Elephas maximus indicus: one gene and its partners. The protein of the gene in region 2 interacts with the protein of the main gene of each other region in a pairwise test. Links are inferred from orthologs where the notes say so. Each region holds a gene or a part of one and is shown on either strand. Other genes may lie near its edges. The genes, in order: SOS1, ITSN2, SYNJ2 and WAS.

Region 1 (7,636 bases), on a different chromosome or scaffold from region 2:
TTTAAAACTTAGCCTTGGAAGTCATACGCATCATTTCTATATAATTCTATAGAAATTCTATATAATCCTATACCAGGGCATGAACACAAGGAGGTGAGGCTCATCTTGGAGGTTGCATACTACAATAAATAACACACAATTTAGTTTTACTTGTTTTTTGCACTTCATATAATGAATCATATAGTGTATAGTTTTCTGTGTCTTGCTCAGTGTTATGTTTTTAAGATTCATCTATGTTGATTGGCATAGCTGTAGTTCATTCATTTCTGAAGCTTTATAGTATGCCACTATTTATCTGTTTTACTGATGCAGTTACAAACACTGCCTCAAGGAACTTTTTTCAAATGCGAAAGGGTTTCTCTGGGATATATATGTTATAGGAATATTCCCTACATAGATTATATGGAGGGAGCCCTGGTGGCACAGTGGTTAAAGCACTAGGCTGCTAACTGAAAGTTTGGCTCTTTCACAAGAGAACTAACTACTCTGAGCTCTTTGCTATTCCATATACAAAATAGAATCCTTTTATCAAGTTCCATGACAAAGCCTATTGGAAATTTGATTAAAATTATACTGGGTTGGGATGTGATCAGTTTGAAAAGCCATTATAGCTTGAATCAACTGGAAAGAGACTTTTGCAAAAACTAACCAAGCAGCAGTTGCTGTTGAGTTGACTCGGCATGTGTGTTAGAGTAGAACTGTGTTTCTCAGAGTTTTTAAGGGCTGATTTTTTGGAAGTAGATTGCCAGGCCTTTCTGATGGGGCATCTTTGGGTGGACTAGAACCTCCAACCTTTCGATTAGCTGCCCTGCCCATTAACAGTTTGTACCACTATATGGATCCTGTAAAAAGGAGAAGTGCAAGGAATAGTCCAATCTATCTTGGAGAAACCAAAAACCAAACCAAACCGGTTTCCCTGACAGTACTTACTCTGCTCCCTGCCTTCTTCTCTTTGAGACTGTATGTATTTAATTAAAGGTACCTAAAAAAAATTTCTTTTTTTTTTTTTAAGAGTAGGTATCCACCCAATGGTTTTATCAGGCACTGTTTACTCCGGTGCATTTTTGTTGAGGAGAGAAACACTATTTGGAGAAGTGGAATTCAAAGCAGGGATTCGGGAGAATGATATGATGAAAAGGGAGGATATGCTACCGGAGGAGAGAGGACAGTTACTTTGAAGCAATGCCTGTTGGGCTCTGGAGTTTAAGGGGAGTTCTAAGGGGGGCTGGGAAAGGCTTCAGAGAAAAGGTGGGGTTTGAGTCAGAGGCGCAACACCCTGGGTAAGAGTTCCACTGTGAGCATGTCTGGGGGCTGGGGTTGGGCTGTGGCAAGTAGGGTTGGAGAAAAATGGGTATGGACGTTCCAGGCACACGGAACAGCATGTGTAGTAAACAAAGAAGTGATGGGCTTGCAGAAGGCAATAGGTAGTCCATTTTGAGTAGGAAATACAGCTGGAAAGATTAGTGTTCCGATTGTGTAAGACCATGAATGCCAGCCTTAGGACTTTGCACTTTATCCTGGGACGCCGATGAAGGCTCTTGAACAGGAGAATAGAGGGATACGAAGTGTGCTTCAGGAAGGCAATTGTGGCCGCAGCCAGTCAGGGAACAGTCTGGCGCTATTGTGGCTAGCGGCGCGGGGAAAAGCACGGAGTCCTGACCGTCCACCTGCAGGGGGCGCACCACGGGGCTGAACGCCCTCCCCGCCCCCTTTCTCGCCGCCCGAGCTCTGACGCGCCGAGCTTGAAACCCGCGCTCGAAACTTAGCTAGCCCGCCTGGACGCGATTCCCTCGGGCCTCGGCTAAGTCCGCCTGGACACGCCCCTGTACGTCACGTCCGCCCTGGGGCGGGGCTGGCTCGGTCTGAGTAGAAGCACGAGCAGAAGCCTTTGCGCCTGCGCCATGCAGACCCAATGGGCGGGTAGTGATGAGGGGGACAGGGGCTTCACGACCTTTTTCGCACGCTTCGTGGTCCGGTTCGACTATCTTCTCTCGCTTCGTCTCCATAGGTGTTTTGTCCCCTGAGTGTTCGGCATCATTCCCCCGAGGACTCACAGCTGAGAAGCGCCCAGTCTCTTCCCTGCAAGTTCCCTCCAGCTGCTTGCCCTCATCCTGCGGCCAATATTTTCAAGCTAATGAGAAGCTGAGCATGCCCAGCCCAGGCTGTAATCCATGTTTTTAGGGCTTGTTTCCTTCTGCAGTCAAATTAGGAACTGGGGAATTGGAGGGACCTCGGACGTCAAGTCCAACTTCCAAACCCTCCCCGACATCCCGCGTGAGTGAATGTAGTTTTTACCTGCACACCTCCCAAGATCGCACGTTCCCTGTGGACAACTCTGTGTAGTCTTCCTTCCTGAAAGTTCCCTTCGGGCGAGTTCAGCTCTTTCAGGAATATTGAGTGCCTACTGTGTATTGTGTACCAGACACCGTAGGTCTTTGGGATACAATGATGATCATAAGATTGCTGATTTCTTGGAATGTACATTCTAGTGGAGGAGACCAACAACTAAAAATAGAGGCTGTGGTTAAGTGCTAGCCAGAAAATAAACGGGGCTATGGTAGAAAAACACAGGCGGGAAATAGAGTGATCAAAGACGGCTCTTGGAGATGGTGAGGTTTAGAACCAGCCAAGTGTACAGCTAGGAGCAGAGTGAGCTCCAGGCAGAGGGAAGAACAAAGCCCTTGAGGCTGGAAAGGGAGTTTTCTAGGAACGGACAGAAGGCCAGTGTGACTGCAGTGTGGTGAGCCAAGGTTGGGAATGGCGAGAAAAGGTTGAAAAGGTACATAGGAGCCAGATGCACAGCTCTGTGGGCCATGGTAAGAAGCTTAAAATGTATTAAAAAGCAACGGGAAGTCAAGGAAGAGTTGTGGCAAAGGTGAGGTCTTAGTTCAATTACCAAGAACCACACAAACTATTTTTTCCAATCACAGTCCTTTAGATATTTGAAGAGACCCTTTTTCATGCCCCCAACTCCTTCCAAGGTATGGTTTCTCTACTCCTTACCCAGAGGACTTATAAATAGAGCTTAAAATCTTATTCTGAACCCTTCGATAGTGAAAAAAAATTTTATGTAAATCATGTGTGTACATTTTAAAAGGGAAGGTCTTAAGACTTTTATCCTGTAAAGATTAATAACCAGTGTTTAAACCTTTCTCATCAATGTCAACTTCTCTAATAGTTTCCTCATCTGTGAAGTGAAAACAATAGGGTTGCTATGAGGATTAAATGAGATGATGCTCAAAAAGTTTTGAATGATAAACTAGGAGGTGCCTGCCATAGAGTGCTGCTGTTAGAAACAAACACCTACAGCCCTGGGATGGAGGAACAATTTACAGATCACTCTCCTCCAGGATCCCACAAACATTCACTAAGTGCCTAAAAAAAAAAAAAAAAGTGCCTATTCTGTGTAAAACCCCTGGTAGGAAAGATCTGCCTTCCAGGAGTTATTATCTGTTCTTATCTAGTCGAAAGAGCCAGGAAAGGTACGAAACAGGACAGACTAAGCTTCGTGAGAGAGGTGTAAGTACTCTGGGATTTGGGAGCTTCAGGAGAGGTCTCAACTAGTCTCCACTGGAGGACTTCACATTTGAAGTGGGCTAGAGGGATGAACACATGTGATGTAAGAACACGGACACGCAGAAAATCAACACTACACGTACACATTTGGGCCTTGGTGCCTGGAAACGCTGCAGTCACTTTTACTAGCCCACTAGTATTGAGCAGTAGGTTCTGTGAGAAGGGAACTATCTTTCGTCCAAGCTCTGGACAGTCCTTATCCAAATGTTCGGGAACAAGGTACACACACAAAAGCACCTCTTTCCGAAACGAAAGGCCCAGGGGCTCCGAGAGAAGTGTGCGATCCCTCGCGACCGATGCACACAATGGGGGCCGCTTCCCGGAGCTCGCCACCGCCCGTCTCTCCCCGCCCCCTCTCCCGGCCCCGCTCCGTCGGGGTCCGGCTTCTCCGGGCTCCTTCGCCCCTCCCCTGCAGCCCCGGGGCGCAGCCACAGCCCGGCCGGGCGCCCCCTCCCCGCGAGCTTCGCCTCCTTCCCGGGTGAGCCAGAAAACCCGGAGCGAGCCACTCCGGCCCGGCGGCGCATGCTCAGTAGCCAGCAGGTTCAGTTCGCAAGTAGGAAGCTCCAGCGCTACACCGGCGTCGGCGGCGGCCGCGGCGGCACCTCAGGCGGCCGGATTGCCCGCAACGACCTCGGGCCCTTCCCCTTCCCCGCGAGACCCCGGCCCCGCTCCGCCCCGCGCGGAGCTTCGCGCGTTTCGGGGTCCCTGCTGCGCGGAGCGAGCGCCGCTCCCCGAGCGCCCCTCCACACGCCCTCCCCCCGCCGCCAGCTCCGCCGCGGGGCCAGGCCGGGCCCGGGAGCGCAGCCCCGGCGGACGGGCGCGCGGCGGCCGCAGCGGAGGGCAGCCCGGGGCGGCGCCGGCGGGCCGGGGAGGGGTGGGGGCCCGGCCCCGGGGCGGTGGTGCGGGATGCCGCCGCCGCCGCCTCCGGGCTGCGTTCGCTCTTGGCGGCTGGTGCCCGTGTCGGGTGGGTGGCCGGGCGCGGGCCTCGCCCCCCAGGCCCCTCGCCAGGGCTAGCCCGGCAGCGCGGCGCCCCGAGGGGGCCGGGCCGTCCGGCGGGGCCGCGGCCCTGCTCAGCGCAGCGAGCTCGCCCTCTCGCGGCTCCTCGGCCCGGCCTCCGCCGCCCCCTCCCCGCCCAGAGGCGCCCCGGGGGCACCATGCAGGCGCAGCAGCTGCCGTACGAGTTTTTCAGCGAAGAGAACGCGCCCAAGTGGCGGGGGCTGCTGGTGCCAGCGCTGAAGAAGGTGAGGAGCGCGCGGGACCCCGCTTCCCGACTGCAGCCCCGGCGAGGGCGCCGGGGCCGGCCAAGGGCTGGGGAGGCGGGGCGCGCAGGGCCGTCTTTCTTCCCGGCCTCACCGAAGGGACGGCACGCTGAGAGCTTCCCCACATTGGGCTGGCTCTCGGTGTTGACATTACCCGGGCTGTGGGAAGGCCGCAGGAAGCCAGGGAGAGTTGTCCGAATAATCCAACCACTGAGCGAGGAATGCCCTGCCCCTTGATTCGGAGACACCAGTTGGAGGAGCCCGGGTTTTTAGTGGAGGTCAAAGCAGGCCACTTTTCCGCCTTCGTTTTACCAGGAGCTGCTGTCAGCCTCCGTTGTAGGCGTCCAGCCTGCTCATTTTAGTGGGCTCGAAGAGTGCTCTGGCCAGAATGCTTGCCCTAAGTAATTGCAGAGCTCTCCTGCCAGTAGCAAGAGAAACACGGCTTGCTCTGCTCGACCTCAGTAATCACTCCCCATTCCTCCAGATTCCTCCACTCTTCCGAGTAACAGGGGTGGGTGCAGATGCCATTATTTTAAGGGTTTTGGTTGTTGTTGTTTTCTGAGAGCCTGAAAATCTGAATCTGTCGTTTGGTTTGTTGATTACAAACCTTTTTAACCTTTGTATGTTTCTTCAGGTTTGCCACATTGTTATCTCAGGTTCTACACCGTGTTCTGTGCTTTTAAATGTTTCAGTATAATTAGGAAATGTTGCTACATTGTAGTAGCTTCGAAAAGCAACGTTGTGACTTAATATACACCTCAGAACATCAGAGACTGATGTGTTGAATGACTTTAAAAACAACTACCAGAGTATTTTTTTGTTTTCTTCTTTTCTCTTACCTTTTCTGTAAGTATAGAGATCGCTTTACTCTTCTTGAATCCCGGTTTCTTGTTGCTCAAAGAATGTTTCATGTTATCTTGTTAAAATATATTTTAACAATTGAGATTATCGTGTACTTTTTGTGCAAAATATTTATACTTTTGAAAAATGTTTCTTAAAAGGTGTCTGTTATTTGTCAAAGGCCGGCAACTTTTACTTTCCCTTTTGCCTTGTTCTTCCCCTCCCCCTCTTTGGTTTTTACTGTGGAAACTAGTTAGTTAGCAGAATATCCTCAAAATTTCAGGTTTAAGTTACTGTCTTTTTTTCTCAACAATTTTACAAATACTGTTGACATGTTGTTTTTTAAGAAAACCAGAGAGACAACGTATGGCTTATATACCTTATTCCTCCTTAGAAATCCCATCAGGCTTTCCATCTGTTTGCTTTTGCTTTATTTGCAGGCTTGGCTTTTTAGCTTGTAATAGATGGGGGGGGGGGTGGTAGGAGGTCTCTGTGATGCTAGAAGCAGGTATTCTGACAGGGAGGTAGACAAATTGCTTGAAAACATAAAAAGAACTCAAACATTATCAGTTTGGGGCCATTTTGTTCAGAATCAGTTAACTCCTAATTTGAGGTAACTGCCACGATAACCTATCAGTTAAGGGTCCTGTGAAGTAGGGGAAAGAGTGGTGTAGGAGTTGGCAGAGCTGGTCTAACTCTGCCATGCTGGTGGCCATTGCTGAATTCTGTCCATGGAAGCATTTTGTTGGCTGGCACAATATTGTTTTGTTATTTTTAAATGTAATTTGCTGCCAGCATTTAAAAACGGGAGATATTATGTGCAATTTGAATTTTCAACATTTCTTGAAGAATAGGAAGATCTTTTTGTATTGAACTGACATTCAGGTAAGGCTGGAGCTGAGTAAATGGCTGATCCCTTTGAGCAAGGCATGTATCTCCAGTTTACCACAATCCCCACTGGTCAACTTTGCTTATTACTGAAACCAGCATTCACTTTAAGCAGAGAGATGACTATCTGATGGCAGTAGAAGTGATGGTGAGGAGGCAAAGGCGAAAGCGTACACATCAACCTGATATGTAATGTTCTTCCAATCCTCATTCATATACTCATTATTGATTCTAAGCCACCTAAGATTGAAAATATATTTCATATCTGGATATGCTCTAGGGAGCTGAACACCTGAATTTTCACCTGCCTGCTGAACATTTCACCTGGGTATCTCCACATCTTGAACTCTTCCATCAGACTTATTGAACTGTTTGTGTCCAACTGTTGTGTTCTCTTACCTGAGGCTGTTTATACTTGCTGTTTCCTTCACCTGGGCCGCCCTTCTTTGCCTGGCCTAACTCTACTCCTTCAGAACTCATTCTCCATGTCAGAGTTTTTCTTGAATCTACAGGGCTGAATTGGATAGTCCTCCTTTGTTTTCTTTTAGCACTCCAGGCTAGTACTTAACAGTGAATTTTAAGTTCTTATTTACTTGTCTAAGGAGCTCTAGTGGTGCAAAGGTTCTGCCACTAAACAACAGATTGGCAACTTCATGGTAGAAAGGCCTGGTGATCTACTTCCCTTAAGATTACAGCCTAGAAAACCCTGTGGGGCAGTTGGCGGTCACTGTGAGTCAATCATCTCGCTGGGCACCTAACAACATTTATTTGTCCCCCACCTTTGCTACTAGATTGGATGCTCCTTGAGAACACAGATGATGTCTTACTTTTCATTTTGTCTCCCATGCATATTCAGACACCTCGTAGGCACTCGTATTATTTGAATGAATGGGTGTGGGAATACGTATATTTCTTTCACGTCCCTTAAACACAGTATTTCCCAAACTAAAACCATCAACTCTCTTCCTTCCACCTAACATTTTCTAGTATTTCTTCTTGATTTATGAAGTCTCTGGGTGGCACAACTGGTTAAGCGCTTGGCTACTAACTTAAAGGTTGGTAGTTCGAATCCA
Region 2 (7,598 bases):
ATTCTGCAAATGAAATATGCTGCCTTCTTTGAGTTCTGAAAAATAAGATTACTTCTTGATATAGTCACAGTCCTATTTCTGTTCAGTTTCCTCCACCCTCCCCCTTCTTCCTCTATGCCTTCATATCCTTTAAGACCAGTTCAGTTCCTCCTTCTCAAGGATACGTACATGTACACTTTACCCAATGGGACTCTAACATTAGTCTCTGCAGTTACAGGATAGTACAAAATCAAAAATGAACTCAAGTAGAAAATACATCATATCTGACGCATTTTCAGCTACAGAATTCTAAGCATTCTTAGTTTTCTACTTCACACTTGGAACTTTGCCCTTAATAATGAGCACACAAAAAAGTCTACCTTTTTTTAGCCTTTCTTCAAAAAGTTTTTCCACAATTTTTTTAATCAATTAGGTACTGAAAAGACCAAAATAGAAAAAGATGAAACAAGCAAAAGCATTGTTACATGGTAATAAATATATCACATTTTTAGTAATGTAATTCTGAACCATTTGCAGAGCTTTTTAATATAAAAGCTTTACAATTAAATATAGTCTATAAATAGTCTATTACTTATCTTCAATGGATTAATATGTACTTTCATTCATTCACTGAACAAACATTTACTGAATGCCAATATAACTTTTTTTTTTTTTTAACCAAAATGATTATCACCATAAGGCCATAAGCCTTAAGGTTATTAGAAGGACCTTGGTTTTAAACTTGGCTCCTGTACTTACTACCTGAGAAACCTGAAGTAGCCAGTTAACCTCCAGGTACTTCATTTCCTTTATCTATTTAATGGGAAGCCTTATAACTACTCTCAAGGTCTTTGTGAGCCTTAAATGATTATATAAGGCATTGAGCATAGGGTCTAGCACATAGTAAGTGCTCAATAAAGGACAACCATGGTAACTATAATACTGAAGAAGGTATAATTGAAGGAGTTGGCTGATGAATGTTCTTTTATCTTGCTAGAAAGATGGAAATTTGTGAAGCTCAACACATTAACAAGATTAAAACTAAAAATCCTTGAGGTTGTGTAAGAAACTTTCCACTTTTTTTTTTTTGAGGTATATTAAGTACGTAGGGTGAAATCACTAAAAAATAAAAACAAGAAAGAAAAAAAGAGCATGGATAAAGAAAATCTTGGATATTGCTGAATTTGGGTGATGGATGTATAAAACCCAAAGCAAACCCATTGCTGAGGAGTCGATTCTGACTCACAGCGGCCCTAAAGAACAGAGCAGAACTACCACATAGGGTTTCCAAGGAGCACCTGGTGGATTTGAACTGCCGACCTTTTGGTTAGCAGCCAAACTCTTAACCACTGCGCCATTAGGGTTTCCGATGGATGTATAGAGGCAGTAAATTTGTGATAATGCAAATTAAAAAATATATAAATTCCAATCCCTAGGATGTGTTAAACACAGTCCCGCATATTCAGTAGAGATCTGGATTTTAGCCTCGACACCGACAAGTAAGGGTCAAGTTTTCTCTGACTAGTTTATCTTCACTATAATTTTTTTTTTTATAAAGGTGAGCAAAAGGAATAACTACCTGTACTTGAAGGGAGAAAAAACTACAAGCTTCTCAGCTGCTTACTAACGTTACACCAGCAATACACATCTTTTTTTTTTTTCAAATCCTTGAAAAACATGAAATACTGTTTGTTTTTAAATTACGCTTCTAAAAACTACTTGTACTTTATTTACTTTTGAAATTACAAGGGAATCATAGGCACAGCCAAAGAAACCTAAAGGTAAGCACATCTGACTTGCTATCTTTAAAACATCATTACCAATGTGTGTAAAGGTTTTATGTAATGCTTCTAGGTTTCTTTTAAATTTTATCGCTGATTAACAATATAGCAAACCAGTACAGGAAGGGAGGCAATAAATTTTCTTGAGAGGCTTAAGAAGCATAAGAAACAACACAAAATTTCAAGTCACACCTTGTCTATTTCTGGGTAATCAAGTGTTTTTACTAAAACAAACTAGAAGCATTTAGCAAAGCAACAATCATTGTGTTAGCCTAAATTTCCATCATAAAGCTGTTGGCTCCATCAAATATATTCCTAATTCAGAGGTCAATGCAAGTTTCAAATGAAACATATTTGCCAGCCGTAATCATTCAACGATAAAGCACGTTATGAATATATTCAAACACAAACACCTTTCCACAGTATGTAAAGCTATCTGCAGTTTCAGCTTCGGTTTCCCCAATCACTACCCACATGCAGGCGTCTTTTTTATTTTCTTCAAAAAGCAATAAACTTTACTCCGGCCTAAGAGATTCCATCTCTCCGTGCTTCCTGTATACCCTGGAAGTCAACAACCCCAAAGTCAAATTTTAACATTTCTCAACTGGGTTTAAGCGAGCGGTGGACGCCAAGCATCGCCCACTGTCCTCTCGTGACTCGGGCTACTCTGACGCACCGGGATGCGGTTCACCTGACATTCCACACCAACCATTCCCAAGAAGGAAAACCAACTCCGCGAAAATAAAATGGGTCCCCAAGGAAGCGTGCGCGTGCCCTTACGGGTTCTCCTCTGCCTGCACCCCGAAAGGGAGGGGACCACGCCGCTTCCGACCCTCGGCGGCGTCCGCCACCTGCCAGGCGAGAGCGCGGCCGAGGACCGGGGCTCGGCCGCCAGGAAAGGAGTAGCCTGGCCCTGGCCATCTCGGCGTCCGCCCTCGCCCCACTGCGGGGGCAGGAACCCCGGGCCGGAGGTTTCCGCCCGGCGCGGCTAAATCCGCGAGGGGCCTAGCTCGGTGGCCGCTCGGGTTTCTACAGACCCGTCCCTTTCGTCAGGGGCGGGCAGCGACCTCCCAGCCCAGCCCGCTGAGCCTCCCGGGCGGCGGGTGCGACGGCGCCCGCACCGGCCCCGCGCCCTGCAGCAGCCTCGGCGAGTGGCTCTACCTACCTGGCGCCCCCGCCGCGCCTCCCGCACGTCACGGCGCGACCCTGCGCTCCTCGGCACCAGCAGCGCGGGCGCAGGAGGAAGCCAGGAGACCTTACTTGGCCGCCGCCGCCGCCGCCCGGTGCCTCAGCAGGCCGCCGACAGCGAACCTGTTGCGCAGCCTGTCACGGCCGCTCGGGCTCCGCCAGCGCCGCCTCAGCCCCACAACAACATGGCGGCCGCGGCCTCCGCAGGAAGCCGGGGGGCGGGGAGGTAGGCGACGGGCCGGGCAGCTGAGTGCCCGCCCGCCGCAGGGCACCAACTCCCCCACCCTCGGGAGCCCGAGATTGGCCCGGGAGCGGCTTCTCACCCCAGGGCCCCGGCGCACCGGACCCCGCGGGCTTGATCCGGGAGTGCTCTGCTCTCCCCTCGGGGAAGCCCCGAAGCCCCGACCTGGCAGCCCCTCCTAGAGCTGCGACGACCCACCTGGCTCCTCCTCCCCGAGGTGACATGCTGAGGTTGAGTGGTACGCTTCCTGCCATAGCAGACCCCGGGGTTTGGAAGGTACCAAGCGGAGGGCCAGGCCCACAGAGGGCTCTGCCTGCGACCTTCTCACTTACCGAAGCGTTCCTTCACTGATCTGGGAGCACGAATTCCCTAGGAATGGGAGGCTGAGGAGTGGAAGGGAGGTGGTTCTCACCCTTGTTCGAAGGTCTAGTACAGGCCTCTCTGACCCTCCTCAGGGACCTTAGATACCCAAGGGCAATCCATTCAGCGTTCCTCACCCTCCTCCAGAACACACACAAAAAAACGAGGAACATTCCCTGCCTCCATGCACACAGGAGAGCAACTCCCCCCCCCCATACGCTTACCTTTAGAAGAGTCTCTCACCCCAAACTCCACTGCCTGCAAGCCTGCAGAAGGTAAACATTGTTCCCCAGCCCTTAGCTGACTGACAGGTCAAACTCAGAATTTCTTTTATCTCACTTCCAAGCTCCTAGTCTCCTCACAAAAGACCAGACATCTACTCAAGACACCACCATGTACCAAGCACTTCTTCAAGGGAAAGGCTTTCTATCGGTAAAGGGTAAGAGAGGGAGTCAGTGGTTTTGGGGGGCATAAAAAAATGGGGATTTATGACCCAGTTTTTTGTTTTGTCTTGCTTTTTGGCTTTTAGAAGCAGGGTTGGGGCTGGTCCAGAGTACTAAACTCATACCCCCTTGACTTGGTACATGAGAAATCTGTGTAGATCAAACTGATCCCTTGGCTTTCTTTCATTCCTTACCAATTGGGACAGGTAGCAGTGTTGGCTTGAGAGATATGGCTCCAAAGCTCAGACCTATTTGAACTGGCCAACTGATTCATGTGAGGAACTTAACAAATATTAATGATGATAAACAGGCTTTTCCCAATCTCACACTTAGTGTTTTCCCAACTCTTCTATTAGGAACTGACCAAGACCTGACAGGCAGGTCCTGAGTTTCAGTGACACAGAGAGATGTAACTTCTTTGTATCAATCTATGAGGTCCCTTACTTGCTGGAGACAAGTTTGTCTCCCTTCTGCAAACGAGCCACCCGGGGTAGGCATAGCACTCTTGAGTACATGGTCTAAGTCCCAAGGCAGACAGCAGGAATTAATTGTGTTACTCTCTTTCAAAGCCCATTCTCAAGAGTGTAAGCCTCAGAATCTTCTTCAACGTAGTGCTCCAGAGAGACACTACTAAATTGCTAGAGTTGGCCTGTGAGATGAAACCTATTTTTCATTCCTGATAGGCTGATAGCCAATTTCTATTTTCTTCAATCATTTGATCAATGTCAATTGTGTTTCTGGGTTCTGAACCTGGTGCAATTCGACCTGAGTCTCCTTTCTTGCTGAAAAAAAAAAAGAAAAAAAAGAGGTGTTAAATCCTCAGTAGGACGCGTTTATAAAGAATTAAAGAGAAAGCATTAAAAAAATCTCCCTAAAGGAGACCAAAAAGGTAACAACCTCTGATAGAAATCAGAATCCTGTATAAAACTGGGAGCCTACAGTACAAGATACTGTAGGCTCCCAGTTTTATACAGGCGCTCCTTGGAAACTCTATGGGGCAGTTCTACTCTGGCCTATAGGGTCGCTATGAGTCGGAATCGACTCAACGGCATTGGGAGTGTTGGGTACAGTATCTTAAGCACTAAAACAACTATATCCCAGGATTCCATTCAGAATTTTGAGCTCAATGTGTCCATCGTATCCTATTCCATCACAGCCCCAAATGTAAGACCTTTACTCTTCTATACTGTCTCACACATATCTTCCTCCCAAGAACTTCAGGGGTGTATTGGACAATATTAAGAATTTGTAAGTAATTAGGGAAAAAAAGAAGTAAGGATTTTCAGGTTTCTGGGCAGGCCTGGGTGATGATAGTTCTATTAGTCAAGGTAAGAAATGGAATATAGGAGGAAAAGCACAGTAGCCAAAAAAACATTCTTCATGCTCGTTTTGCAGCTTCCAGATTGTGATAGATTGAATTGTGTCCCCCCAAAATATGTGTTGTAAATCCTAACCTCTATGCCTGTGGTTATACAGTAATCCCATTTGAGAATGAGTTGTGTTGTTAATAAAACAGGATTAGTATAGGGTGTATCTTGAGTCAATCTCCTTGAGGTATAAAAGAGATTAAACAAGCAAATGAGAGCAGAGAACTTTCAGCCTACTAAACTGTGAGAAAATAAATTTGTTTGTTAAAGCCACCCACTTGTGGTATTTCTGTTATAACAGCACTGGATAACTAAGACATGGATCATGATTTTTCCACTTCCATATAAAAGTCCCTTCTTCTTTGAGGCTACAACACCAGTTACACAATCCTCTACCTGTCCTCATCCATATGGTTTACCAACCTCCTGGGTGCTCCTATACATTCACCAAGAATTTCAGCACCTAGAAGTCCTCTCCACCCAGTGCCTTCCATCATCCTTAGTGCCTTTTAGTATTCGTGATTCACGTAGGTGATGCATCCACCATCCCAGTTCCTTGACTTCCCCTTCACCGCATAGAGCAGATCTTGGAACTGTATCTGAATTCTTCCCTTTGGTATTTCCCAAATCCCATCCCCGACCCCTTGTTCACCTCAAGCACCAACTGATACACTAAGTCTTACATAAGATGTGTAGATGTACCTGTCAAGGCTAAAGAAGATTAGTGATTAGTGTACAGTGAAAAGGTTAGGAGGGTCATTTTCCCAGGTCTGGAAACCCTGGTGGCATAGTGGTTAAGTGTTACGGCTGCTAACCAAAGGGTCAGCAGTTCGAATACACCAGGTGCTCCTTGGAAACTCTATGGGGCAGTTCTACTCTGTCCTATAGAATCGATATGGGTCAGAATTGACTCGATGGCACTGGGGTTTAGTTTTTTGTTTTTTTTGCCACAAGCTAAGATAGATTCGTAGGCTTGTTCCTGATAACCTAACTTTTATCATGGAGGCGTTTTATCTCAATCCATTATCCTTCCCCACTGTGTTCCCCTTCTCCAACTATACTATCCTATGTTCTATCAGTCTCCCCTTCTGTTAGTTTTCAAGGATCCCATCATTCACTTCCTCCCTAACCAGTTTACCCTCAGAACCCACAGTGCTAAGAAGTGAGAATATATAGCACAAATAATTCCAATCTTCCAGCATCCCTGAGGTTAAATAATTTTCTAGTTTTAAGAAATTTAAATAATGTATAAAGAAATTAAGAGGAAAAGGGCAACAAATATGGTCTTTTGATTGACCCAAATAGTTATTACTTTTAGTGCTTTTTGTTCTTTTCCAAGAATTCTCGTTTCCACCTGGCGTTATTTTCCTTCAGCCTGAAGAACTTCCTTTGCTGTTTCTTGTAGCTTACTGGTCATGAGTTTTCTTAGTTGTATTTTATCTGAAAATGTTGTTTTGCCTTCGTTCTTGAATCATATTTTCACTAGATGCAATATTCTGGGTTGACAATGGGTTTTTTGTTTTGTTTTTTCTCTTTCAGCGTTTTAAAGAGGTTGTTGCATTCTCTCTGGCCTCCATAGTTTCTGTTGAGAAGTTAGCTATCGATTAGGTTACTGTTCCCCTTATGTAATATGTTATTTTTCTCTTGCTGCTTTCAAGATTTGCTCTTTAACTTTGGCTTTCAATAATTTGACTATGCTGTGCCTCAGTGTGGTGTGATAGATTGCTTTTATATGGCCATTCTTTTTTTTTTTTTTTTTAATTGTGCTTTAGGTGAAAGTTTACGGCTCAAGTTAGTTTCTCATAAAAAATTTATGTGACCCTAGTTGCAATCCCTGTAATGTAACAGTACATTCCTCCTTTCTACCCTGGATTTCTCGGTCCATTCAACCAGCTCCTGTCCCCTTCTGCCTTCTCATCTCGCCTCTGGACAGGAGCTACCCACTTAGTCTTATGTATCTACTTGAACTTAGAAGCACACTCTTCATGAGTATCATGTGTTTTCTTTGTCTGAAGAGTTGGCTTCAGGAATAGTTTTAGTTCTAGGTTGACAGAGAGTCCAGGGTCCATGTCTTCTGAGGTTCGTCCAGTCTCAGTCAGACTATCAAGTCTGGTCTTTTTACTGGAATTTGAGTTCTGCACCCCAATTTTCTTCTACTCCGTCAGGGACTCTCTGTTGTGTTCCTTGTCAGGGCAATCATTAGTGGTAGCCAGGCACCATCTAGTTCTTCTGGTACCAG
Region 3 (7,108 bases), on a different chromosome or scaffold from region 2:
CAGGTCCTGAGCCACACTGTACAGACGTGACCTGTTTCGGGTATTTAAAAAGTTGAAACAACTTTCTCGTCATAGAAGGTTCTTACAGTCCTCCTCTGGGGCAGCAATGCCAGCAAACGCTACAGCTGCTTTGTAAAAAGAGTTTTATTTCATTTAAGAAAACCAGACTTCAAAAGTTAAGTATTCAGCCCAGCCAGTGTCTCTGGGTGGTGTGGTCAGTCCACACACCCAGAGGTGGCTCGTAAGAAAGGGCTGGCTACCTACTTCCAAAAAATCAGTCTTTGAAAACCCCATGGAGCACAGCTATGACACACACAGCATCACCGTGAGTCAGAGGTGACTCAAAGGCAACTCATTTTTTTCCCTTTTGTTATTCAACCCCAGGTCTCCTGATAAATGAATGCTAGGTTAAGTGACAGATGTGGAGTGCACGCTGTAGGAAAAAGAGCCCAACCAGTGCCTACTCATAGCAACCCTACAGGACACCACAGGACTGCCCCACAGGGTTTCCCAAGCTGTGAATCTTTAAAGAAGCTGACTGCCACATCTTTCTCCTGCGGAACCACGGTGGTTTTGAACCACCGACCTTTCTGTTAGCAGCTGAGAGCTTTAACCACTGTGCCGGCAGGACACCTCCACCCATTTCCTTATACCCTCTGTCCTGGAATCAACCACCAATGTAATACAAATGCATCTCGGCACAAACTTCATTTCTTAATGGAAAATATGCACTATTTTACTTTCATTAATCATTTTAAAATCTTCGCTTTGGGGAAAAAAAAATCTTTTTCCCCTGGTGGCTTAAATGTCTATGAACCTTACTTTACTGTGATCCAACCGAAGGACATTTTCATATCTTTGATGAAGGGGTATTTTCGTACCATGAAATCAATCTCAGTTCTGATAAACGTTCTATGAAGTAGACGTCTAAAATGGAATGGAAATTTTTGTGGGTTTCTTTCAAGGCCTTACCAAATGACCAAATTTGGACTTCTCAGGACAGGGCACAGATTGGAATAATCGGATAATGACTTAATCCACAATTCACTGCACATTTGTGATACTGAGAATACTGGAGACATTGTTTCAGTAGTCAAGTGACTAAAAACAAGCCAGAAAATTATATGCTAATGAAGTGACTGCTGTCATCATTAGCTGCCATCAAGTCAGCCCCAACTCATGGCGACCCCACGCACAAAGGGATCAAAGCACTGTGATCCATAGGGTTTTCACGGCCTGATATTTCAGAAGTAGATTGCCAGGTCTTTCTTCCTGGTCTTAGTCTGGAAGCGCCACTGAAAGCTAATCGGCATTCTAGCAATTGGCAAGCTTCCACTGACTGACAGGTGGTAGCTGCATTTGAGGTGCACTGGTTGACGGGAATCGAACCTGGGTCTCCCTCACGGAAGGAACAGGGAAGTGGAAATAGGAGAGATGGTGCTTCCAAGGCATCCATCCTCACTGAGGAGGCAATGGATACGAATGCAGAAAAAAAGACACATTTCTAAAGACCTGAGCAAGTGAGCGTCCGCTGCACCTGCCCGGCACCTCCATTCCAGGTGACTCTGCTCTGTGCTCTGTTCAGCTTCATACACAGAAAGATGGTGGACCTGGAGACCACCCTAAGCCCACTGTCCTGTGTTGCTGTTTAAAATCCTAACAATCCTACCCGCTTTTGCTCACTTTGGTGTTACCTAGACCCTGGTCATGAATGCTGGCAACAAAACAAGGGAGGGGACGTAGTGATACAAGAAGTCGCGCACTGTGTGACCTTACAGAAATGCTCAGACAGGAGCTGTGTCGCCCTGGCAAGAAAGTTTCTCTTCAGGCCTCAGTTTACTCATCTGCAATACCAGGATAATAATATCTCTTTTCTAATTGTGAAAATTAAATGAGACTATGTCTCTAAAGTCCTCGGAGCACACCGCCCCTCTCAGGACTTCTGTGCCTCCCTTCAAATATTCCCGGCAGAAATGTAGTCACCAGGTAGTGTGTCAAAATCCACGTTCTCTACTCTGCTGTACTAACACTTCAAGCGGCGGCGCTAGCTGCAGTTTGGGGGTCGTCTCTCCGTTATAGGGCTTTGATCCTTAAGCCAGACCCACAAACCAAACGGCAATCCCTGGCTTCCTCACCAGCCGGTGCAACAGAAGGGGAGCGACCGGCGCACTGGGACCGTCATGAATGTGTAACGCGCCCCGAGAGGGCGCGCGCCCTAAATCGCCGGAGCCCGGCGCTCGGAGAACTCGACCCTCCGCGCACAGGCCGGCGGGCGGGCGGGCGCGGACCGAGAGCCTGGCCCGGGAGTGTCCCCGACCTCCGTCCCCTCGCCATGCCACTCAGAAAGGCCGCCCCCCACGCGCGACCCCCAAGTCCCGGGGACGGGAGGTGCCCTTGCTCGGTTTCAGCAAATGCGGGGTCTCCGCTCTGGGGGCCGCCCCTGGGCCGGAGAGGAGGGGACCGGGGCCAGGAGAGGAAGGGGCAGGACCCGGGCCCGGTGAGGAGGGGACCGGGGTCAGGAGAGGAAGGGACCCGGGCCCGGAGAGCAGGGGACCGGGGCTCGGAGACGAGGGCACCGGGGCAGGCGCCGCACTCACCGAGCGTGGCCACCGTGCCGGCCTCGAAGAGCAGGCAGTCGCCGCGGCCGCGCGCCTCCAGCAGGACGCTGCTCTCCCCCGCGGGCTCCAGCCGCGCGAGCAGCCGCAGCCCCTTGCTCAGGGACATGGCCGGGGCCGGGATCCGGGGCCGGGGCCGCGTCGGTCCCCGCGCTCCCCGCCGCCACTTCCAGGAGTTTCACTTTGTGCGGCGCTCCCGCCGGGCGCAGGCTCCTCCCCGGCCTCCTCCTCTTCCCAGCCTCCTCCACCTCCTCCTCTTCCTCCGCCCGCGGGGCAGGTGAGAGGGCGCGGCCCGGGCCAGGGGGTTCCCCAGAGGGGAGGCCGCGTAGGGGCTGATCCTGCGCCCCAGTGGGAAGAGGGCTTCCCGGGGCGAACAGCTGATAGGAAGATGCCAGGCATTCTTCTCTGCGGAGGAGGATGAAGGCCGGGGGTGCCTGGTGCCCTGTGTAATCCTGAAAGGACGTCCGGGGCCTTATAAGGACAGCAGGCCGGCGGGCCTGCGAGGCTGAGAGCCACTGGGAGGCGGCCAAGGCCTCCCCACTGCGGCCAGGCGCTGCGCCCCCTCTGCGGTTCACCGCTGCCACCCTGAGCAAGTCAGTACAACGCTCTGTGCCTCAGTCTCTCTGTCTGTACAGTGGGAGGGAGTAATAGGGTAGCGGTGAGGAGAAACCCATTGCCTCAGAGTAGATTCGGACTCGTGGCGACCCCATGTGTTACAGAATAGAACCGTGCCCCATAATGTTTTCTTGGCTGCAATCTTAAAGGAGTCTCGTCTTGGCGCAAATGGTTAAACGCTGGACCACTAACTGAAAGGTTAGCGGCTCAGACTCAGCCAGAGGTGCCTCGGAAAGGTCACAGCCTTGAAAACCCTATGGAGCGGTACTACTCTGAGGCGCATAGGGTCGCCATGAGTTGGAATTGATGTGAGGGCAACTAGCAACAACAGATTGCCAGGCCTTTCTTCAGCAGCAGTGCCAGGTACGTTGGAACCTCCAACCTTTAGGTTAGTAATCAAGCACAAACCAGTTGCACCAGCTAAAAAATTAATTTGGTAAAGCCTCAGTAAGCGCCTGGCACAGAGTGTTCAGTGTTGCCTTTACCACTTTCTATAAATGACGATTTGCAGTCCATTGTCCATGCCAGGTGGAGCTGTTAGGGACCAACAGGACGTTGTCATGGAAGGGACAGAATAGGCCCATGTTCTCCAGACCATGGTCTGCTACTCACTGTGGGACCTTGACCTTAACTTGTCTGCACCTCACTTTCCCTGTGGGCACTGAGTGCTAGCCCAGACCTCTGCTCTGTCTGTTTTCTGCAAGCTGGGGGAAGGTGGACCGAGGTTTGGAAGTTTCATTTCTTTCTCTTCTGATGAGTAAGTCCAGATGATCCCAGAGACTTCCATGGGGGTGTCTCCATCAGTCCCCCAAACCAACCTGGTCCTCTCTCCCTGCCCCATCTTGTTCGAACTGAAGACTGTGGACCAAGCCTTTACTCCTGGAGTTGTTCCAGAAGGAGGCAGTGCCCGAGCGCCGAGTGGACACTGTGATATCTTACAGACATTCAGGAATGGCCAGACCAGGGTTCTGCTATTTGTGGGAAACCTCTCGAGTGATGATTTGGGGAATAAAGTAGATGTGAGGTGGACAATGGGGGCTGAGATTTGAATCACTCTGGAGCCTCCTGCTCTTTCCTTCACAAATTCAGCTCCCTGTGGTGGATATCCCATAGCTGTCTGAACAGTGTCTGTATCTGTAAAATGGAGATATTACTACCTCAGGAAAAAGTGTGCCCATTGAAGAAGCTGCTGGCCCACTGCTATGGATTGAATTGTGTCTTCCAGAAAGATAATGTTGAAATCCTAACCTGTGAATGTGACCTTGTTTGGAAATAGTCTTTGAAAACGTTACCAGAAAATATTATCACAAGGCCATACCAGCGTAGGGCGAGTCCTAATCCTGTATGACTGCTGTCCTTATGAGAGAGGAGAAGAAACACGTAGGAAGAACAGCCATGTGATGACAAAGGGAGAAACAGCTGCAAGTCAAGGAACGCCGTGGGTTGCAGGGGACTACCGGAAGCTAGGAGAGAGGCATGGAACAGACTCTTCCTCAGAGCCCTCAAAGGGATTCAGCATGGCTAACACCCTGATTCGGAGCCCTGGGGGTGCTAGCCAGGTCGGCAGTTTGAATCTACCAGGTGCTCCTTGGAAACCTTGTGGAGCAGTTCTACTCTGTCCTGTGGGGTCGTTGAGTTGAAATCGACTCAGTGGCAATGGGTTTGGTTTGGTTTTGGAATAACCTGATTTGGGCTTTTTGCCTCAGAGCTGTGAGACAATAAATTTCTGTTCTTACGAGCTTTCCAGCTTATGGTGTTTTGTTTCAGCAGCTCTAGGAAACTGGTACACTCGCTTTTCCTTTCCTTTTAAACCCAAAGATCGCTTCTTCCAGGACGCCTTCCTGAAATACTTGAGGTTTCAGTTAATTGTGTCAGAATGCACTCACATTCACACTTCAGTTGGCACTTGCTCACAGATTATTTGAAAAATGTTTTTATATCTCTTTTTTACAAATAGCCTTGTTTGACAAATTACAGGTAGTCCCCGTTTTACAATGGGGCTCTGTTCCAACAACTCTGTCATAAGTTGAACACCTCTTTTGTTTGTTTTCATTTCAAAACACAGCGTTTTGGACAGTAAATCATAAAACTGAATGACAGTGAGTGAACACCTGAGAATGATAATGAATTAGGCACTGCGACACTATATGTACTACATGTTACTAAAGACAAGATGTAAAAAAAGGGACATCGTAAGTTCATTGTAATTCAAATACGTCGTACGCTGGGAACTTCAATTTTTTTTTTATATATATATTAAAAAAAAAAAAACCCTTACCATTGAGCTGATGCTAACTCATAGTGACTGTATAGAACAGAGTAGACCTGCCCCCATAAAGTTTCCAAGGAGCAGCTGGTGGATTTGAACTGCTGACCTTTTGGATGGCAGCCTTAATGCTTAACCACGGTGCCACCAGGGCTCCACTTGTATGGTACACAGTAAGGTCATTGACGGGGGGACCAAGTCTTTCAGTTATTTTTTTCTCTCCCCCTCTTTCCCACCTTCCCTGGCAGCACATAATTTAAAACTCTACACATGAGTGCTATACATATTTTAGAATTTTTTCTACGGGCAGAGACCAGCACCTGAGCTTTACAGCTTCTAGAATCTACTGTGCCATCAATCTAAGGTGAACCACTACTTTATGTACCACTGAAAAAAAAAACACTGCTAATGAAACTATATATATATATATTTTTTTTTTTTTAATGAAACTATAGCAAGCCACCGATTGGAAGATAGGCCCTGATTTCGGCAATGTTCAAATGTACATCTTAGACTCCATGAGATGTAGTAGCTGTTACCTGGGAACTGCCTGAAGGAGCCGAGAGCCTGCTGGGCCCGGGCCTCTGCCCTCTGGTTTCCACAGCAGCAGAGGAGGTGCCGTGGTGATGAGCATACCGTCTTTGTCGTGTGAGTCGGGTCATGGGGCACCAGCACGTTCAGCAGATGAACAAGTAACTTCCTTTCAATGTAGCTGAAACAGAGGCCCGGCTGATCCCTCAGGAGCTCTGGTGTGGGTGGCCCTCAGACATATCCCAAATGAACCCACTCCGTTTGTCCATTAGTCATTGGATTCCAGTTGCCTCCGAGGGGGGATAGTCTCGGGCAAGGCAGGTCCCTTCAGCCAAGAGTGACATCCCCAGCAGCTGAAGAGGAGCCTGGGGTCACCACAGCACCCTGCACCCATGTCACCAGCCTGGGCCAAGCATAACCATTAGCCTGGGTCTAGTCACCCTTCTTCCTCCCTCGCCCCCTGTTAGGGATTGAATTGTGTCCCCCCCCCCCCGGCAAAATATGTTGGAGTCCAACCCTGTACCTGTGGATGTGATCCCGGTTGGGAATAGGGTTTTCTTTGTTATGTTGAGGCCATATCAGCGTAGGCTATATCCTAAACCTAATCGCTTCTGAGTTACAAGGAACAATATAAACACAGAGACAAGGAAGGACAAATGGAGGAAGACAGATGCCACATGAAGATGGCCAAGAAATCAAGGAAAGCCAGGACTGCAGAAGCTGAAAGAGACAAGGAATTCCCACCCCCCAAGCTGACAAAGAGAGAAAGCCTTCCTCTAGAGCTAGTACCCTGAATTCAGACTTCCAGCCTCCTGAACTGTGAGAAAATAAACTTCTGTTCGCTATAGCTACCCACCTGTGGAACTTCTGATACAGCCTCACCAGGGAACTAAGACACCCCCTCAAGCTGCTCGAGTACCTTGTTAAAGCAGTCATTCTGATCAGGTCACAGCATATCCCCTCGGTAGAAGCCGAAGTCTTTGCTGTGGACCCCACGGCCCCACAGCATCTGTGGTTTCCCTGCTGGGTGCTTGGTTTGGCTCACCTGCTACGCCCCAGGGCCTCGGCCTCAGGGCCTTTG
Region 4 (7,681 bases), on a different chromosome or scaffold from region 2:
TTCCATCTGGAGCCTGCCTGATTCTAAGCCACTATGAAGCTTCAGCCCACAGTTGCTGTATAGGTGGCCAGATCTTCTAAATCTCAACAGAAGCCAGATATCTGAATTTTAGTAGAGAATCTCTAACTTTTTAAAGTTTGGCCACTAACGGAATTTTTAAAAAATCCGTTGCCGTCAGCGCACATTGCAGAAGAGGATCTCCAAATGGCCACTAAACATGTGAAAAATGTTCAACCTCATTATTCATCAGAGAAAAGCAAATTAAAACCAAATGAGGCATTGTCATGTAATATTGGATTGGTTAAAAAAAAATGTTAAGGTAATTTCACCACTGAAGGGAATGTGAAATGATGCAACCACTCTGGAAAACCATTTGGAATTATTTAGGAAAATTTGAAAATAGGCATCCTCTGTAACCCAGAAATTCCACTTGTTAATGCCCATTATGAGAATGGATAAACAAATGGTAGAATATGTAACAATGGAGTACAGCTACACACGACATATATACATCTCATAGACATAATGTTGTGGAAAAAAAGCAAGACACAAAAAATACACACTGCATGATCCCATTTATGTACAGTTCTAAACAGGCAAATCTAAACTGTTGTCTAGGTTCACAGATGTCAGTGGTTAAGAAAAGTAAGGAAATTATGACCACAAGCATCAGGGAGGTGGTTCTCTCTGGGGGAAGAGAGGATGATGTGCTGGGGAAGGGATTCATTGAGAGCTTCTGTTCTCCTCTAGATGCTCTATTTCAGGGGCCAAGTCTAGCCTGCTGCCTGCTTCTGTACCCTCACAAGCAGAGAATAATTTTGACATTTTTAAATGGTTGAAAAAGGATTTAAAAAGAATATTTTGTGACACGTGAAAATTATAAAATACAAATTTCAGTATCTATGAATAAAGCTTTATTGGAACACAGCCACCTTCATTCATTTATGTATTGGCTGTGGCAGCTTTCACAGACAATGACAAAGTTGACTAGTTGCGACAGAGGCCATATGGCTTGCAAAGCCTAAAATATTAACTATCTGGCCCTTTAAAGAAAAAGTTTGCCAACACCTACCTGCTCTATTTCTTCAGCTGGCAGTCGGTTTTGTTGGTGTTCACTTTATACTGTAGTGGATCAGTTTTCTGTGAAATACATTTTTTGTGGCATCTAGGTCCAAGGTATGGTTGCCAGACATCCTATGCATTTAACTATTTTGTTATATGTCCTGTATTGACTTTGTCAGGGTGGTCTACAGATCCTGTATACAGTTTTTTCGGAAAATTGCAAAAATCTGGCAGTTGGAGCGTTTTTCCTCCACACTAATCGACGCGTAAATCACGTAAACGGCAACGCTACTGAAAATCATGCCTTCACAAATAAAGATCTGGATAATCCCTTATGATCTCTCCTGCAGGTTTGGCTGAGGGAAGACCAAAAGGGGCGCTGAGAATTAAAAGCACTTGTTTTTCGTACTGAAAAAAGGAAAAGACTATTCTTGTGGCCAAGGGTCCAAGTTGTGAACAAATAACCACCTATAATTAGAGATATCTTCAGGTTAGTACAAATGCTCTGAAAATCAGGCGATAAACGACAGCCTCACTCAGCAACTAGACTTTTGAAAGTTAGCAATTCATTCAGTGATTACCCTCTCCTGAAAGTCGGCCAATCAGTGCCGATCCCATGCCTCTAGACAGCAGCCAATCAGCAGTACGTCACTCCAGTAGCCATGCTTCTGAAACTCAGCCAATCAGTGATAAACCCCTCCAGTCCTGAAAGCCAGCCAATCAGCAGTGCTTCACTCTAGTAGCCATGCTTCTGAAGTCAGCCAATCAGGAGTAACCTCAATCCTCCTAGCCAGACAATCAATGAAAAACTCCCTAGTCAAGAAAGTCAGCCAATCAGGGACAGCCCCGTGCTTCTAGACAACAGCCAATCAGCAAGTGCCTCACTCCAGTAGTCATGCTTCTGAAGTCAGCCAATCAGTGCTAAGCCCCTCCAGTCCTGAAAGTCAGCCAATCAGTGAGAGACCCACACTCCCAGGCAATAGCTAATCAACAAGTGCCTCTCTTCAGCACCCATGCTTCAGAAAGTCTTTATCCTTGTGAATATTTATCTATTTCTACTTTTAATGCAGGTACTATACACATATATTCAACTTTATATATATCTACGTAACATTTTAAAATTAAAAATAGGTGTTATGGATTGAAACGTGTCCCCCAGAAAGATGTGCTGAAGTCCCTGTGAATGTGACCTTGTTTGGAAATAGGGTCTTTGAAGATGTCATACTAGGGTAGGGTGGGTTCATAATCCAATCTGAGTGGTATCCTCATAAAAGAAAGAGACACAGAGGGAAGAGGGCCATGTGACAACAGAAGCAGAGATTCTAGACAGCAGAGCTGTTGTAAGCCGAGGGAAGCCAAGGATTACCAGAAGCCGCCAGAAACCAGGAAAGGCATGGAACAGATTCTCCCCCAGAGCCCTCAGAAGGAATCAACACAGCCAACACTCTGAATTTGGACTCCCAGCCACCGAGCTCTATGAGAATAAAGTTCTAATAAGCCACCCCGTTTTGTGGTACTTTCTTACAACCACCCTAGGAAACTAATACAATAGGTAACTCGCTAGAGCACTAACCGTGTGTATAAGTAACACCTGTCAATTACAGCCGGCCTCACGCTCCCAAACCATCACTGTGAGCAAAAAAAAAAAAAAAAAAAAAAAAATGGGGCAAGTGTTTATTCTCTCAGACACACTTTGTCACTAGGGCTTTTAACTGTTGTAAACTGCGTGGTTAAGGTGTCAGGAGAGCCAGACACCTCCCTGTGCCTGTCCCCTTGCGGCAGAACTTAACTTCATTAAAGTAACCTCTGGGAGTTTTCCTAAAACCTAAACTCAAAGCAACACTTTTCGTTTTGAGTAAACTGGAGAATAAGTGAATGCGAGAACGACTGGGCGGCGGTTAAGTTTGTCCTACTGGGTTTGTCACAGAGGTTAAGATCGAATAGCCCAGCACACCGAGCGCCACACCCTGGCGCGTGATCTCACTAAACCCCAACAGTAAGCACCATCCTCAGCACCTTTTACAGGTGAACATACTGACACTCAGCGGCGGTATTAGAACTCTCCAGCCTAAATCCTCAAGGCCCCACCTCAGCGCACCCAAATACACTGGACTGGCATCCACCGCGCATGTGCCACACCAGCGGCCAATAGGAGCCCGGCGCGCAGAATGGCGACGGGGCTGTTTTCCCTCGGAGAACCCGGAAGCTTCAAAGCGTAGCAAGGAGGAGACTTCGGTTTCCGGCCAATCGGCGCTCACGGCGGTCCTCGATTTCCCCCTCCCCACCATGAGCCAATTGCCTACTTGGTGCATTGAGAACTGGCTGGGAATGAAGGGCTCGAGAGGGCGTTACCCTGGTGGCGTAGCGGTTAAGAGCTACGGCTGCTAACCAAAAGGTCAGCAGTTTGAAGCCACCAGGCGCTCCTATGAGTCGGAATCGACTCGACGGCGTGGGGTTTGGGGGAGAGAGATTAAGATGGCGGACGTTAGAGAGGCTGAGGGTGCGGCTGCAGGGTGAGGTCCCCCAAGGTGGGTGGGAGTCGGGAGGACGGGAAGGGAGTCTTCGGATGAGCAAGATCGCGACATTCCCCTATCCCTTAGGAGCTTGGGCAGATTCCGGGGCCGGGGATCGATTCCTAACGCACGGCGACCCCACGTGTGCAGAGTAGAACTGCTGCACAGGGTTTCCAAACTTGTGACCTTTCCGAAGCAGAGGCCAGGCCTGTCTTCCGACGCGCCTCTGGGTGGGTTCGAACCCCAACCTCTGGGCTGCATAGTCGTCCAGCCGTTAACCCTTCCCGCCATCCAGGCCCTCCCTTTAGTAGTTCTCCCCTACAAATAAAATGGTATGTAACAGGATGGCCACCGCCTCCCCGGTGGTACGATCCTCCGCGGACTGTTCCATTTCTGCGTCGTCCCTCCCCACACCCGTTGTGGTCCATTCCAGGCTGCAGTGTTAGTACTCCTTGGGGTCACACAGACAGGGGTGTGGGCGCTTATGGGGGTCACAGATTGGGGTGCAAGGAGGAAGGAAGCATCCATCCAGGGAGAGTTGATGGTGATTTTAAGGGCGTGGACAGTGTAGGGACTAGAAGGGACCCCTGGCTGGTCCAAGGTTAGCAGCACAAACCTAGAGGGAGGGAAAGAGGGGGGCTGACTCACAGCGTTTCCTGCGCAGGTGGAGGGAGTAGGGCGGGAAACGCGGTGGGTGGGACTTCTGAGGTTGGCAGGGTGGGCTCCAGGAGCATCTCAAAGCCCTCTGAGAAAAGTGAAGAAAGAGCAGTGGAGAGGTGGTCATGTGTTTTGGGCCTCTGACTTGAAAGTCTGATAGGGGAGGGTGTGAATGCTAGGCCGCACGGTTGATAGTTCATTTATCGAAGTTACCCAACTATTTCATAACAACAACAACAAAAGATTATACAAGATTGGAATTATAAAGCTTATTCAAAGAGAATACTGTATTTACATAGCTTCCTGGTTTTAATTATTATGGTTTGTTTTAATTGTTCGGATGTACTGCGATCTACTTGGCATTTAAACACTGATTAAAGCTAATCATTTTCACCAGGATAATTTTTTTAAAAACCCAAAAACAATCATGTATAATTACGTGTCAAACCCTGTCCCAGTGACTTTACATGAATTATCTCATTTAGTCGCCACAACAACCCTAACCACTGTTATTATCTTCACTATGGATGGGAGAACCACAGGTGTCTCTGCTTTTCTGTGCACACCTTGTAATCACGTCACCCCACCAGGACTGGAAATTTTCCCTTCGGCTTGTGGCTTGAGGGCCCCTAAAGAACCTATTTGACCATAGCTTCGGTGAACAGCGTAGAGACACCTCGAGTTGTTTTTCTTCTCCCTTTCCCCGGGCAAGGTCCCTGGGTGGTGCAGATGGTTTGCTCTCGGCTACTACCTGGAAGGTCGGCGGTTCAAATCCACCCAGTGGTGCCACAGAAGAAAGGCCTGGCAATCCGATTCTGTAAGATCACATCCAAGAAAGCTCTGTGGAGCACAGTTCTACTCTGAAGCACTCGGGGTGTCCATGAGTTGGAGTCGACTTGACGTGTGGTTTGTTTTTTTCCCGGGGCAGAAGGGGATACCAGATTATAAAGGCTATCAGTGAAGAAAGGACAGGGAGCCTTGTGGGGAGAGGGTGGCAAGTCTGGATAGCTACAGCATGGATATCTACACTGTACAGTTATTACTGATTCAGCAAACATTGATTAAGCCTCTACTGCACGCAGGGTCTTGTGTGAGGAGCTGGGGACACCTCCGTGAACAAGACGGGTCCTGTTCCTTTCCGCCCTCGGGTGTGTTCTGGGAATTCCTGGGGGGCAATTTTGGCTGTCATAATGATGGAGGTACTGGCATTGAGTGGGCAGCGGCTGAGATGCTGGGGGACAGCCTCACAAAGCCAAGACTTGTAACATCCATGAATGTCACTCAGTCTGGTAAACGAGGCCTTCCAAAATGGTTCTTATGAAAAGGGGGCGTTGGAGCTGAGGGTTGGGAGCTGTTGTTTCCTTGGGTTGGGCCTGTGCTCAAGAAGCGCCCCTCAGTCAGGGGTGTGGAGGGCCATGAGGCGCAGAAAGGTGAGGGGAGAAGGATGGCGGGGTGACGTAAATTTTGCCATCTTGACCCTTATGTCAGTCCTAGAGAACAGCAGTTGTACCCAACCCATGTCCACGTCTCCTCCATGGACTCAGTCGCATGGTGAGGAGCAGACACCCCCCACAGGGCTTGAGCATGGAGACCGTGATCTTGTGGTAAGATCCTCTCAAAGTAAAAAAAGCTTAAGCACAAGATATAAGCAGGAAGTGATTCCGGATCTAGTGCCCACTGCGGGTAGGGGGCTTGTCAGGAGTAGATCATGGGAGAGCATCAGGTGGCTGTACATTATTGAACACAACCTGGTGCTTGGGGGTTCGTGGGTGTTCACTACATTATTAAGTAAATTAGAACTTCTGCTTCCAGTGCAGTCGATGGACTTGTGTTATACCAACTCTCCTGCTGAGAACAATCAGAAAAGCTGGATTAAGTGTTTGGGTTTTTTTCTGATCTATTTGAAGGTCCAGGAGAGCAATTTATCTTTGAGGTCATCACCTCACCAAATACTGACATCCAGTGCAGAAAAGCAAGAGCTAATGGGGACACATTTAAGAGGAGAAAAAAAAAAAAAAACTAGCTCCAAATTATTAATGTAGGTCAACGGAGTAATTCAATAATATATAATATGAAAAAATGATATGAAAATTATTAATAAATCACAGTATTCCAGTGTGGGGAAACTAATCCTATTAGGGACTAAAATAACAAAATCTGCTTCAGGTTGTTTATTTAGAGAAAAATATAAATTTTAAACCTGTCTGCTACTTAGAAATAACAGGAAATATAAAACGTTTTTTTAGGTGCTGAGTTAAGTCCCCCACGTTTTTAAAATTGTGGTAAGTACATATATATATCAAAAGCTTTGTCATTTCAACATTATTTTACATGTACAATTCAGTGACATTAATTACACTCATCATGTGTAACCGTCACCACTATGTGTTTCCAAACTTTTCTGTCCCCTTAACAGCAGCTCAGTGCCCCCTAAGCAAGGACTCCCTTCTCCCCTCTCCTTCCTGCCCCAGGTAACCACTAATGAACTTTGGTCTCATGCATTTGCCTATTCTAGGTATTTCATATAAGTCAGATCATAGAATATTTGTCCTTTTGTGACTGACTTATTTCACTCAGCATAATGTTTTCAAGGTTCATCGTGTTCCAACTTGCATCAGGACTTCAGGAAATACGTAACTTTCAAATGTTAATTAAAACAACAACAAGAACAATCAGCAAATGTAGCAGAGATTTAAGTTCTCCTAATGTAGATTTTTTTTTCCTTTTAGGGAGTCCTGGTGGCGCAGTGGTTAAGAGCTCAGCTGCTAACCAAAAGGTTGGCAGTTGGAATCCACTAGCCGCTCCTTGGAAACTCTATGAGGGAGTTCAACTCTGTTCTATAGGGTCTGTATGAGTTGGAATGGACTCGACAGCAGTGTGTTTGGTTTTTTGGATAATGTAGATTTGGAAAGGAGCCCTCATGGTGCAGTGGTTAAACACTCAGCTGCTAAAGTGAAGGTCGGTGGTTTGAACCCACCAGCTACTCTTGTGGGAGAAAGATGTGCCTGTCTCCTTCTGTAATGATTACAGCCTTGGAAACCCGATGGGGCAGTTCTCCTTTGTCCTATAGGGTTACTATGAGTCGGAATGGCCTTAATAGCAGTGGGTGATGTAGATTTGGAAAGGAGATCTGGTGGTGCAGTGGTTGAGTATTCAGCTGCTAACTGAAAAAAAAAAAATTTTTTTTTAACTGAAAGGTGGGTGGTTCAAATTCACCCACCGCTCTGCGGGAGTTTGCTTCCACCTAGGAGTTGGAATTGACTTGACACCAAGGAGTTAATGTAGAGTTGGAGTCTGGCTTAGTTATCTAGTGCTGCTGCAACAGAAATACCACAAGTGGATGGTTTTAACAAAGTGAAATTTATTCTCTTACAGTCTAGTAGGCTGTAAGTCAGAATTCAGGGTGCCAGCTTGTAGGGGTAGGCCTTCTCTCTCTGTCGGCTCTGGGG

What was found.
Region 1: the proteins of ITSN2 (region 2) and SOS1 interact in a two-hybrid assay, tested with the Homo sapiens proteins (2 studies listed by BioGRID and IntAct). The link is inferred for Elephas maximus indicus from reciprocal best matches to the Homo sapiens genes ITSN2 and SOS1.
Region 3: the proteins of ITSN2 (region 2) and SYNJ2 interact in a two-hybrid assay, tested with the Homo sapiens proteins (2 studies listed by BioGRID and IntAct). The link is inferred for Elephas maximus indicus from reciprocal best matches to the Homo sapiens genes ITSN2 and SYNJ2.
Region 4: the proteins of ITSN2 (region 2) and WAS interact in a two-hybrid assay, tested with the Homo sapiens proteins (2 studies listed by BioGRID). The link is inferred for Elephas maximus indicus from reciprocal best matches to the Homo sapiens genes ITSN2 and WAS.

What each region holds. Positions count from the first base shown.
Region 1 is NC_064844.1:24,621,215-24,628,850, forward strand, and holds the start of SOS1 (son of sevenless homolog 1), read left to right. Parts: upstream 1-4,632; 5' UTR 4,633-4,730; coding exon 4,731-4,817; intron 4,818-7,636.
Region 2 is NC_064830.1:41,935,897-41,943,494, forward strand, and holds the start of ITSN2 (intersectin-2), read right to left. Parts: upstream 3,016-7,598; 5' UTR 2,926-3,015; intron 1-2,925.
Region 3 is NC_064819.1:230,244,395-230,251,502, reverse strand, and holds the start of SYNJ2 (synaptojanin-2), read right to left. Parts: upstream 3,012-7,108; 5' UTR 2,725-3,011; coding exon 2,598-2,724; intron 1-2,597. UniProt on the Homo sapiens protein: Inositol 5-phosphatase which may be involved in distinct membrane trafficking and signal transduction pathways. May mediate the inhibitory effect of Rac1 on endocytosis.
Region 4 is NC_064846.1:122,887,736-122,895,416, forward strand, and holds the start of WAS (actin nucleation-promoting factor WAS), read left to right. Parts: upstream 1-4,665; 5' UTR 4,666-5,836; intron 5,837-7,681. Other genes in the region: GLOD5 (glyoxalase domain-containing protein 5), read right to left, coding at 4,224-4,309. UniProt on the Homo sapiens protein: Effector protein for Rho-type GTPases that regulates actin filament reorganization via its interaction with the Arp2/3 complex. Important for efficient actin polymerization. Possible regulator of lymphocyte and platelet function.